Linked DNA regions of Schizosaccharomyces pombe. The gene in region 2 interacts genetically with the main gene of each other region. Each region holds a gene or a part of one and is shown on either strand. Other genes may lie near its edges.

Region 1 (6,601 bases), on a different chromosome or scaffold from region 2:
CCGTCAGCTAAAATCGTTAGAATAAAAAAGAAGCGATAAGCTTTATACATACTAGTAAATAGCCAGAATAGGTCTCCTTTATAGCATTCAATATTCGATGCAAATATGTAACAAAGGTTTTGGCCATAGGTGGGGTATTACGATCCTTTCCATGAAGCTCTAAATGAGTCTGGTGGATAGAAAAGACATGATCAAGCACAGCAAAAAAATGGGGCCATTGATATGGTTGGTGAAGTTTTTGTTCAAAGGAAGAAAGCAAGATATGCTCAATTGCATTTAGCTTAACATGGTAAATAAATGATGAAAACGGTCCATTACTTGGTAGGCTTTTTGCTACGAATTTCAAATCAAGCGCTTCAGCTTCAAAATGAGCAACGGTAATTTCAGGAAGTAAATTTATTAGATTACGGCGGAACCGACAGGGATTGTGGGAACAAATTCGGACAAGGTCAACCATGATATTAGTTGAATGAGCAATCAAAGACTCAACTAGCGGACCATAGGCTGATGAGATAGAGTTTTTTTCGATTACTGTACGGGTGTTAGGATTATAAAAATTTGAAGGAAGCCCAGAAAACTCACGAATACATTCTAACATATACGAAGTAGGTTGATCCCTTAGATTAACTGCATTGTTAGCAGTGATAAGTGCTTGAAGGGAGGAACGGACGTAAGGCTCTGGAGTACGATTCAATCTCGTAAAATCTAAACAAAACTGATATACTGCCAAGGAAGAAGCGAGAGTGTGGCTATTCAAAATCAAAAGCATATCATCAGCAAAATACAAAATTCGTTGATAAGAATGCTCAATGCCAGTAGGAGGAATATTCCTCACAGGAGCTGTAGCAACTAATTGGGCTTGGACGCGAAAATCCCAATATTGCTTTAATATGCTCTCCTTGATAGATGAATCAACTACCGAAACCGTGTTCTGAATCTCGGGTACCAAATTTTTGATCAGATGGAGAGCATCGATGGTGGTCTTAATATCACTCCTTTCATACACTCGTAAAATACCAATTCGAAGTTGTATTCTATTGAGAATTCCCTCGATAATTTGTCGTAACTCGGCAGAAAATTTTATAACCTCGGAAGCCAAATATTCGATGCTAGATTGCAAAAGATAATTGAGTTTTTCTATGGGGTAATTTTGAAGAAAGGACATGTGATATGAAAACGAACTAATGTCTTCCTCGTCATATAAATTTCCCATCAGAAATTCTCGATGAACAATATCGCAACATTTAATAACAGCCAAAACAAAAGGGAAAAGAACGATGTCAGTTGTATTCCTTCCGCTACCACTGGAGAAGCCACTGTCACCCACTTGTGAAATAGGCGACTTGCAAATGGAGAACACATGGGCACTACAGAGTAAGCTCTCTGATAAGGGGGATCCATAATGCCACTCTTTTTCCGCAGAGACAATTAAATCCATTAACGCTAATATTTCCAAGTAAGAGAGATCACGTGAAAAATCTACACGAAGTGGCTGATAATCAATCCCACTATCCATTTTCGGTTCCATAATTTCAAAGGCACTGATTGAATCCAATAATGTAAATTTTGGATCACATACTAGCTGTTCCTCTTTCAGAGATTTCGTGGCTTCAAAGTAAGACTTTGTACAGTCGACATATCCAGCGTTATCAACATAACCTTCGTTCCCTTTGGCCGGTTCCACATTTCCAATCTTCACATTTCCTTGCATAGAATTAAGCAATGATAGGGACTCTTTAACAGACATAAAATCGACAAAACACCCCTATATTGACCAATTTTCTATTGAACGTCTAGTTTATGGGTTAATGAAAAGTGTTACTCTGTAAGTCACAACAAAAATTCCACGCATAAAAATGCTTGTTCAATAACATTTTCGAGAGTAAATAAGATGGTAATTTTTTCAATAATAATAAAAACAATGATAAATCCAATTTGAAATTATTTTACTTGTATCTGCAAAGGTAAAAAACTATCTCGATGGTAACCCATCTCACCTAGCAGTAGAATATCTAAAAACTTTTTATAAAATAAAGAGAAGGAAAACAAAATAAATACTTTAAACAATTATGCTTTTTTGAACATGAGAATTTTGTAACTTTGAAATTGCACCAGTTCGTGGAACGTGCAGTCGCAAAGTGTACTGCATAAATAGATACATGCATGGAAGAATCGTGATTTCAGTCAAACACTGCATTCATAATCTTTCTCTTTAAATTTTCGAGTTCTAAATTTTTTTCTTTTAGGGCCGCATTCAGTTTGGCAATTTCTAATTTTAATGAGGAAACAGTGTCTAAAGGCTCCATTGAATTTGAATGAGATATAGGGACATCGGGAATCATCTGAGCTTCTGCTAATGAGTGCATACTCGGCGCTTTTTCCAAATTGAATGCATGACATATAGTAGCTGTTAATGGTCCTTGATGAACGGTCCAAATTAAGCGATCGGTACTGGCTTCAAGGATTTCGGAATGAGAAGAGACCAGGGCTAAAAGAGTACTTGAGATGAACTTAAAATTGGGAGTTTTGGGGATCGGCGAAGTTTCGGAGGGAGGAAGATATTGGGATATCGTTTCAGTATAGTGTGATAAAAGTTGAGAAACCGTTTCCATGGGCAGACGAGCAACATGTGAAAATGCAGAGCGAAGCATTGTATTTTGAGCATGCATCAACTTTTCAAATCTTTCATACCAAGAGATACTTAGCGTTAATGACACAGATGGTTCAGATCTCAGCCGTTTAATTTTGTTACGAGCTCCTGGCGGACGCCCGCGTTTACGAGGGACTCCTGCTTCATTTTCAACATTTTCCGTTTCTACTTGATTGGTTTGTCGAGACCAAGAATCATTCAACCCGTCACTTTCTTTGGGTGAAGAAACGTCTCGTAAATCATCAGGCCATTGATGCCAGTCAGGATCAATGGAATCAGCAACGCCAACTGCTTCAGCAGTTTGAAAAGCGTGATCATGGTTATGTGAATTGTTGGCTGCGGAAGGTAACTGATGGTCTTCGTCAGGTGGTTCAAACATATTTGGAGGATGTGGGAGAGAATGGTTTTGAGGAGTTGTCTGATGTGCTTGTTGAGAACCTCGTTCAGACATGTGATGGGACGCTCTCATTAAAAGGGATTGAGGGGTAGGGCATTCTTGGGAATCTGCATGAGGGTTTGTGACAAAGCTACCAAGATTGTGAGTGTTGTCGTCTAAACTAGCACTAGCTGAATGAATCCAGTTAGAAGGGGAGGTTGACGTGCGCATTGTGGAGATGGAGGAAGAGTTAACATCTGGATGAGACATTAAGCCTGCACGTAAAGATTTAATAACCAAATCATCAGTTACATTTACATTGCATCGAACTTGAGGTTGGGTTTCAGGAATTTCGAGATAATAAGGATTTGGTTTATTCAGGAGATAATCGAAAAAAGCATCAACATGTGTTTGACTCATCCACCGTTTTAAACGAACAACATACTGTTGTATTTTTTGAGTAGATTGTTCATCTTTTCGTTCCACACCAAGAAAACCCACCAGCTTGGACCAAGAGTTAATTATTTTTTGGTGGTATTGCCGGACAAGGAGAAATAAGACCCAAATCTCAAATTTTTGACCCTCTGATTTAGGAATCATATTGAATGCATTTGCTAATTGCCTCGTGTCAGCACCTGCATACCAGGGATTGCAGCAAAGACAGAATTGGCAGAACTTTTCAGTAATATTATCCGCGCTAACATCATGTCTAGATGGCAACAAGGAATAAAAGTTCATCCTTGATTAATTGCTTTAAAAAACAATAAAAAATGTAAAAAGACAGATAGATAAACGTTGGATTATTAAGTAAACACGACAGAAAGACACAAGCAATGTCGAATAAAGAGATTAACAGTATATAAATATCAGAAAAGATCCAGGGATTTTAATAGAATGTATCAGTTCTTGGAACAGGAAGGAGTTGCTGTCTATAAATTAAACTCCAATCTGTAAATGAACCGATGTTTTTTTTTCCGTACACTAAAAAAAGGGAATGGAGGTAAATAAAGCAAAAAAAACGAAATAAGAGAATGAATGTAACCAAAAAAAAGAAAATATAAGTACAGATGTTAAATTTTGTTTGTTTCTTCTCTAGAAATTAGAGAAGTATTGACATGAAGTAGCTCGTCTACACTATACGAAAAGATGCACAGATTATGAAAACAATTGATCCCCTCCTATGATGAAAAAAGGATGCGGAAGGTATTACAGAAGTTTTTCTTCTTTAAGAAAGAAAATAAGAATGGTGTCCCTAAGCTATATGGCACGTATAGCAAGGGTGTCGAGAAATTTTCGGAAAAAATTGTAAACCCTCCAACAATCGGTTGTATTCACAATTGAAATTAAGAATTGGAAGAGTTTCTCTCACGAAAACCTATTACCTTGGCGTTTAGCTTTTCGAGAAAAAGAAAATTGCACGGTCATACAATTTCGCGATTTTTCAAAAGAAGGATGGCAAAGAAAGATATTTCCAAAGAGGCGAAACCTCTTAAATCTAATTTACAAACGATAAATAAAAAGCGCGAAAAACTTGCACACGAGCAAAAGTCCAATTTATATATTGGAATGGAAGATAGAGTAGAAAATGGGAAACGCGAATAAAGTACTCTTTTTCCTTCATATATTGTGATACCTTGGGCCATCCGACTCAGATAACAAGATGATACCTTTAACCCGTTGTTACCGTAGCACTCGCTGAATCAAGGTACTTAACGACTGTCGGTAAACGGAGTCGTGCGCCGTTTACCGATGAGGGATACGTAATCGCACATTAGGACACCTTCAATCTCCCTATATCTTTTGGATAGATCGAGAAATTGCTAGAGGAAAGATGGAACGGGATTGCATTAAAAAATAGAGGCAATAAATTAAAAATGTTTCAATCAAGAGTTCAAAGATTATTACAGATTTACTACTCATTTCTGTAAAGCAATGGTTATTGCGCTGTCTCGACTGCTGTTATTTACCTGACACACTAGGGGCACACACTAGGGGCACACATTGGCGGCAACCCGAATGGAATACAAAAAATGCAAATTTTGATTTCAATCGACCAATGCTATAAATGAAAAAGACAAATAAAATCGAATCATATAAAAAAACAGAATAAATAATGAGACAGACAGTGGAAATGATCCAGCGGCATCGAGAATTTAAAAAATCGGCTCTTCTCTAATAGTATCTTTTTGCATTTGCAACGGAGCGCATATTACAAATCTAAGGTTGAATACTAATTATTACGAATAATAAGCTATAAAACTATTTTTTTTGGAAATAAACAGCTATTTAGATTAGAGTACATGAGTACTACTGTTAGTAAACAAAACGACATTCACTCTCTATATTTATGGCAAATTTTTAACAGCTAATTTTAACAATTTCTTGAGTTGCCACTCAAAGTATAAAGAGATATGCCTTCTTCGATTTACTTGTTGAAACTACCAATTTAAATAATAGCTGCTAACGGCTTCTAGTGATATTCCTTAAACGGCAATCGCCATTTTAAGGAAGAAAGGCCAATTGGTCGCACTAATAAGGACCTGATTTGAAGCCGCTGTAAAATAGGGTTTTCCCTTTTTTGCTGAGTTCGCGTGAAGGTTGTAGGCGAAATAAAGTGACAATATACATTCAAAATACAGACTTCATTATGGGAACTTTCATTTTCTTTATAGTGGTAGCAGGATAACCTAGCCTTTGTGTATAAGGTGATATCCTTTTACAGAGGTTAGCTATGGATTCTTGTAATACAGCCAAAAGTACGTACATAAATTTTGAGTAAAAAATTCGGGTATGGTTGAAGGAGGCGTAAACGGAAGCATTTTCTTGGCGTTAATTGAACATGTTTCGCACTTTAGTCTTCTTACTATGTCATGAAAAGAGCTATTTTAATTATTGTACGGGGTGGCTTGCTAAATATTGATCTGCTAGATATAAAATTAATAAATAAATAATAAAATAATAAAAAATTTTGTAAAAAGAGAAGCGAAAAACCAAACCGACTTAACTTTTTGTAAATAAATATATTTAATTTTATTTACTTTTGAATTTTTTTTTCAGCCCTATTCAAGATCAATTGACCCCTTTTTTGGCAAAATTTCACCATTGCTGAGATTTCGGCATCAGAAAATTTTCACATACTATGGTGAAAAAAAGAAAACAGTCAAGGCGTAGCATCGCAAATTTGGATTCATACAAGAAAAAAAATCTCGTCAGCAATACGCTTAATAACACCGACTGTAATAAATAATGGTGGTTTAGCACTAATATAATCGTAAGTTAATAAACAATCATCAATTGGATGGCCAAGCCAGAAGAAATCCCAAAAATAAAAAAATTATAAAAAATGATAAATCTATTTTTAATCTCTTAAATTGTTATTGCGGTAGGCCGTTTTTTTGAATGTCAATTGCTCAATCCGTCTTTTCCACTATTTGGGTTCATCCCTTGGTAGCGGCTACTTAATATGCTTCTAGGTAGGGTTCATTTCTTCTCTGGAATTCCCTTTCTGACCTTCATTCTAAGGAGGCATGTTTGTTTCTGTTTACCGTAATCTACGCTGTCAGCACTAGTAAGTT
Region 2 (6,824 bases):
TTCAACTGTTGGTAAAGGGGTGATGCCTCGTTTGGCTGCTATGTTTGATGTGATGCAGATTAGTGACATTATTGGTGTGGTTTCTGCTGACACATTCGTTCGTCCGACATACGCGGGAAACGTAAACGTTACTGTGTCTACAAAGGATCCTATTAAAATCGTCACCGTTCGTGCATCTGCATTTGACGCCGCTCCTTCAAGTGGTGAAGGAGCAGCCACTGTTGTTGAAGGTATTGATCCAAAACCAGCTGCTCTACAAGAATGGGTTAGTGAGAATATTATAAAGAATGCTAGGCCTGATTTGTCTTCTGCCGAAAGAGTTGTTGCTGGTGGTCGACCTTTGAAAGACAAAGAGACATTTGAACGCATCCTTACACCTTTGGCTGACAAATTGGGTGCAGCAATTGGTGCTACACGTGTTGCCGTGGATTCTGGCTATGCTGATAATTCTTTACAAATAGGTCAAACTGGAAAAATCATCGCCCCAAAGCTTTATATTGCTGTTGGAATTGATGGTGCTATTCAGCATCTTGCCGGAATCAAAGATAGCAAAGTCATTGCTGCTATAAATCGCGATGAAAATGCTCCTATCTTTCAAACAGCAGATGTGGGAATTGTAGGTGACTTATTTGAAATCGTCCCGGAGCTTACTGAAAAACTTTGAAAATCATGTTGAGGAATGATTCCTTATTTTTCATAATATCACATTTATTTCAAATTTCACATCTTTTTAGAAGTTAATAAAATACACGTTTATTTAACTGGGTACTCGTAATAAATTAAGGAAATTTTTGATGTAATATTTAATTATATACCAGTGAAACAACTCTGAAGTCGTTTTATACATACATTTATGAAGCCACCTCAGCAAAGCTATCGTAGGTTGATTATCAAACATTTCAACGTATGAGAAAGAAAGGGATTTTTTTAGCGGTCTAGATATTTAACCAGAGATAAATGATAGAAACATGGAAAACATAGAATACGCATACACTCTCAGCAATACTTCAATGTCATCACAAAGCAAATCTATTAAAAGAAAATAAAATGCAAAGGCCGATTGATATTGCCAATAATTTTAAATTCTCTGACAAAAATAAGGGTGCGAAAAGAGAATATTTTCATAATATTTAAAACCCACGAGAAGCACCGCGGCCTCTGCCTCTAGTTCCACGGCCACGTCCACGTCCACGACCTCGTACTACCTCTTTCTTCTTTTGTTTTGGCTTTGTGCTATCATCAATTAAAAGGGTATCAAGTGGTAACGAGTCTGGGAGGATGTAGTAGCGTATGTTATTTCCACGAATTGACAGAGTTTCTACAGGCACTGGCTCTCTACCTTTGACAGTCATTTTAACAGCTTTTAAATGGGTATTCATTTGCATATCAACAGAAGTAATCGTTCCGTGAACAATTGTGCCTACGCGATTTGGTAAGTTTGGTTCATTTATTATACGAAAGTAAGGCTTTACGTACCATTTTTTAACTCAATAGAGACAGTTTCATTCGTCAGCTTCATTAAAAAGCTAAACTCGTTAGGAATATGTATAGATTTTTTATCATACTTACCGTACCAACTTCATGGTGTGTGCTTTGGTGTTCCTGGCAACTGCAAAAATCAAGTATTATGTTCGACTAAAACACATCAACAATAGATAAAATCATCAATTTTATGTTAAGATATAATGGATTCTGAAGTTTTACTAGTCCAAAATAGCTTTGTGATATTAATAGGCTGATCTTCATGTGCATTTATTTTTCCAGTATCTGAGAATAAAGTTGAGAAGCTAAGACTTCTTAATACAGATTCGACTGTTGAAAAAGCTTGATACTAATTTTAATAATTAAGTGAAAGCACTCATTAGTCTAAATAAATGGGTTTCGAACCCAATACTCGAATGAGCTTTAAGGCATCAAATTTTAGAGATAAAATTATTATGTATCGCATGTCATTTGTTTTAATCATTTATTTTATACAATTTAAGACATTTTATTCAAATACAAAATTCAAAGCTTTGGCTATTCAATATAAGAAGATTACCAAGTGAATTTTCACGAATTGAATTATTTTTTATTGTCCCGTAAAGCTCGCGCTAAAGCTGAACAGAAACTTTCATAAACATTATAATCATATCCTTCAATCCATTTACACTGCAATTGATTATCTATTACGTTCAGTTCACATTTCATTTGTCCTTCCAGACTAGAAACAGAAGTTTGACTTTTGGATATCCGTCGAGCTTTACGAGACCAAGTGATAGATTTTGTTGATATTTCCAAAACGGATCCTTTTTTAGACCACGGAATTTTGTTATCATCTAAGAATTTCTGTAGAATGTCATCAATTTGAGCACATAATTCTGGGTCTAAAGTCCAATTCTGAAGAACCTTATGGGGGAAATATTTAGAAAGGGAAGTTGAAGAAGGACGTATAAGTTCCTTTGGATCCTTTTGTTAGTATCATGAATTTTAAATATCGTTCGATAGCAGCATACATTGTGTGGACGCATAGCCTGAAATGACCAGCAAATTATCCAGCGCTTAGTCTTTCCAAGTGCGAGTTCGTAAATTCCATAATTTGATATCTTACAGATATAAGTTAAAAAAATTTTAAAGGCTAGTTAGGACTTACATTTTGTTCACGCAATTTATCAACCACAGCAGGTACACTTGATTTTTTGCCAAACATACAGGTATACCATTGAATTCCTTTCCTTTTTTTACTTTCAGTTAAGATTTTATTGGCAAATCCGACTTCACCACCCTCTGTAACCATTTCATGATAAACTCCAGTACAAACACCCGATGGTGGATTTTGCTTAAAATTTATGAAATCTTCCTCATGTTCATAAAATGGGGGATTACACATCACAAAGGTAAATTCTTCCATCCCTTCGGTATCAGGGAGTAAGCAGTCTTGTTTAGAACGAAGCACAATTTTGATCTGGGATTCCATGTTATTTTGAAGAATATTGCTCTTGGCTGTTTCAAAAGAAAATTTGTCAATTTCTAGAGTTTTGAGTAATTAGTAAAAGCCTGTGAAAAATCAAAGCTTACCGGTGCCAACGAAATCATATGAGTACATACGACAGCCTAATAATGGGTATATACAACTAGCGCCGGTACCAATATCCAAACCAATGATTCTTTTTTTATCCTTTTGCCCAGATGTACTTGACAACAGGTCATGAATATATCTTATATAAGTGGCTCTGAAAAGTTGGTTATAAATGATGAATAAACAATGTGTTAATATACCGGTTTGGAACCTTTAAATGAATTAGCATTTATGAGAGAAGGGAAATGTTTGTTTAAAAGAAACATTGGTGATGCTACACATCTCTTACCATTGGACATAGACGATTCTCAGGAAATTCAACACGAAGAGAATAATCCCGATCCAGAATTGCTTTTCCTAACGTACTAATTTATAGGTAAGCAATCGTTTAACATATGTGAGTTTACCAACCGAATAGCATCTTCGTTCCAAAAATCAATGCGACCATTTTTGACGCTACGTTCAATTAGTATATAAATTGGCATTGAGAACGCCCTACAAAGATCTCAAGTCGGGATAATCCCTTGCTAAACTATCGAAATTTATAATATCAGTTTTATCAGTCATATTTTTGAGTACGTAAATTTTTTTTGCTATATCGCCTTTATCGGCGGTTGCTTGGTTAAAAAACGCAAATTTGCTCGTACAAATAACGCTTTCGAATGCCGTATAATTAGTGGTAATATATAGAAAAATATTAAAGGTACATTAGGTGAGCAAAAATAAATACAGCATACACTGAGTCTACTTAGGTAAATGGTACAACATAATCGGTGGCCCTTGAATAGATTTTTCCATTTAACAATAGCGTCTACCCAAAGATTACTGGAAATTATTACTCATAAAGGAAAGAAAAGTAATGAATTTAAATGCTAATGAAGTTAAACTAGATAATGCTTCTTGATTTCTCAATAAGTTAAATTTAAACTCGTAAAGTTAATCCCTCAAGAGGATCGGCTTCTTCGAAGAAACTCAAATAAGAGTCATCAGTGAGAGCCATCATTTCATAAGAAACCGCGGTGTATGAGTTGGGGCATGTAACGTTGGTAGCATAATCGCAACCAGAGCTAGAGCAGTTGAAACGTCCAATTTCGGCAATGCGGTTTGGACGGTTGGAGTAAACAGTAGAATCGTTGGCGACGGAGGAGAGGTTGAAAAGAATGAATTGACCAACACCATTGCTGCCTTCAACAGTGATTGGGAAACCGCTAGTATCGAGATGTAGGTTGAGTTCGCAACTGCCGGAAACTTGAGGAACATCAAATGTGAAAATCGTGTTGGTATGATTGTTTTGCTTCTGAAAGACGACTGGAGAGTAAACATTACCGGAGTTGGAACTGGGGTTAGCAGAATCGATCAAACGAATTCCATGTGGGAAAAGAGGGTAAACAGCTGAGGAAGCTGCTGCGGATGCAGCTTTTGCCGTGGCAGTAGCCGATGCTGTAACAGGAACAACAACACATTTGGTGGTGTAAGCAATTGCCCCACTAGAAGTGCTTGCTTTAGCAGACGATGAAACGCGAGTTGAAGTTGAAGTAGCAGCTGAACTAGAAGAAGAAGAAGAAGAGGATGGAGACACGAAGGCCTCAATAGCAATACCTGCACAATTGGGGTTACCATTTCCGGCTCCGAAGTATACTTGGTAGACCTGATCATTATCACTAGCAGGACAAGCTACCGCAGATTGGGTTCCATTATATAGAAGATTGTATCCAACATTAGTAGCATCACCAGCACTGAACTTAGTGGAAGCTGCATTAGCATCAGATTTGAAAATAGTGGTGCCATTGCTGTCAACCGAAGCGTAAAGATTTCCGACAACCAGTCTTCCGTTACTCATAGAAAAGACAGCACTAGTACTGGTACCATCAGTAGGATCCAGGTAAATAGCGCCAGAGTCTCCTACATAGAAAGGGTGCAAGTGGACATAACTGTTGCCAGAATGAATAGACATTAGGCCAAATTGCTTGTTGTTCAAAGGGTCATCACGCTTATGCAACGGTGAAGCTAATGTGCCCGAGGCAGCGAGCAAAGAGAGCAATGTGGAAGCAATGGGGATTGAAGTAAGCTTCATAACGTAAGTTAAACAAAAATGCAAGAAAGTCAAAGCAAATGAATGTTTTTTTTTTTAATTGAAACTTTTAATAATAACTAAAAAATTGGAGGAATTTCTAGATATTGCAATAAGATTGATCAAACTGAAGAAGATTAATCACTTATTGTCAACCAAAGTAAGAATTCCTTTTTTCGTATCAGATATTTCTTTAAGTGTTACCAACAATTATTTGCCAAGCATCGTGCTTATATTTATAATAATGAACATTATTCTAGAATTTTAGTTCGATAAAATTTAAGAATATTCTATGAAAAAAACCCGGTTCAAATAATCCGCTTTACACGGCGCTTCCGAATGGCAGTAATTATGTAATAAACATGTGCAGTTTTTCATATCGGCAAAATTGCAGTACGCTACTTATTGCTTTACTTAGCAAATCAATATATGTCATACAATTCCAAGGGTATTTACGGAAAAATATTAATCATAACTTCTATTGATACAATTAACCGTATGTTTATGATTAGAAACCCAGTCAAGTGAATTTTCCCAAATTGGTATTCAGCCTAGCTATTCTGGTACAGTTGCTGAAACCTTTTTAAAATAATACTCTACGTAATATTCACTAAATCCCTGCATACAACATTATAAGAAACCACTTCCGGTAGTTTATCGAGAACTAACGGTAAATTGCGGTAATATTGATAATACTGCACTACTCTATGTTATCCCATATTGCGGTCAATTTACTGAGCTGCGTTATGTGTTCCTATATGGCTTCTTGCAACTTGATGTAGGGGTATGCGGTATGTTTAAATAACAGTGTTATATTCATTGTTTTAATGAGTCTACTAGAAGCAGTCACAGATATAGCTAGCTAGTAAGTGAAACTGAGGAACGAGATTCAGTTGTAGCTCTATTTATAATCTTTCTAATAGCAGCTATGAATGTGAAATTTATGTGGATAGATGAATAAATAGCTACAATTATTAATAAACGGATCTTAACTAATGTTCTAATATATAACTAACTGTAGTTCAATGTGTCGTTAAATAAATACTAAACTGCGTAGCTAACAACTACGTACTACTAATGACATATGGTAAATATTAATTAGATCCCCGAACCGGTAATTGCAGATTATCAAAATTCTATGTGCATTGAAAAATCGTTAACAAAATTACTAGGTAAGTTGTAAATAGAACTGAGAACTATGACTAAATTTGAAGTATGAAGCTCAGTTATAAGTTATTTTAGTGATAGGTAACAATTTAACTTATATATTAGAATACATATAGCAAGCTACTCCCTCATTTATTTGCTTATTGTAATATTATGAATCGGCAAAGAAAACTCTTACTGCATTTCTCAAATCCTTAAAAAAGGCAGCAAACGGTAGGTTAGAGATGAGTTTTTTTTGAAATTTACTCATGTATAGCAAGCGATATGTAAAATGTACGAGTAACAGATACTATCATTATTGTTACATTATGTCTCTACTTATAACTGCCTCATGCCGGAACTGACATACAAGAAAAGTTTGAGCTCTACTTACAGTAGTTCTGTCTAATATCTAATTAAACGGGTATTTTAGTAATAGAAACAGGTCTTCCGTTATTATCGATAAGCGGATCTCAACTAGTATTTTAACATATAAAATTAGTGATTTGCAACACAGCGTAAAGTTGCTGACATATTAGAGTTGTAGCA

The links.
Region 1: of mtl16 (region 2) and abp2, extra expression of one rescues a mutant of the other (dosage rescue), as found in Schizosaccharomyces pombe (one study listed by BioGRID).

Annotation. Positions count from the first base shown.
Region 1 is NC_003423.3:4,128,865-4,135,465, reverse strand, and holds abp2 (ARS-binding protein Abp2), read right to left. Parts: upstream 4,602-6,601; 5' UTR 3,765-4,601; coding exon 2,181-3,764; 3' UTR 1,831-2,180; downstream 1-1,830. Other genes in the region: naa35 (NatC N-acetyltransferase complex subunit Mak10), read right to left, coding at 1-7, 53-1,747. UniProt on the Schizosaccharomyces pombe protein: Binds, preferentially, to the Maundrell ARS consensus sequence within ARS3002.
Region 2 is NC_003424.3:4,519,408-4,526,231, forward strand, and holds mtl16 (methyltransferase Mtl16), read right to left. Parts: upstream 3,674-6,824; 5' UTR 3,544-3,673; coding exon 3,470-3,543; exon of another isoform or gene 3,424-3,469; coding exon 3,348-3,423; exon of another isoform or gene 3,270-3,347; coding exon 3,259-3,269; exon of another isoform or gene 3,213-3,258; coding exon 3,058-3,212; exon of another isoform or gene 3,010-3,057; coding exon 2,633-3,009; exon of another isoform or gene 2,586-2,632; coding exon 2,496-2,585; exon of another isoform or gene 2,440-2,495; coding exon 2,065-2,439; 3' UTR 1,968-2,064; downstream 1-1,967. Other genes in the region: etf1 (electron transfer flavoprotein alpha subunit), read left to right, coding at 1-664; Sm snRNP core protein Smd1, read right to left, coding at 1,131-1,420, 1,477-1,526, 1,570-1,583; SPOM_SPAC27D7.09C (But2 family protein ), read right to left, coding at 3,981-5,132.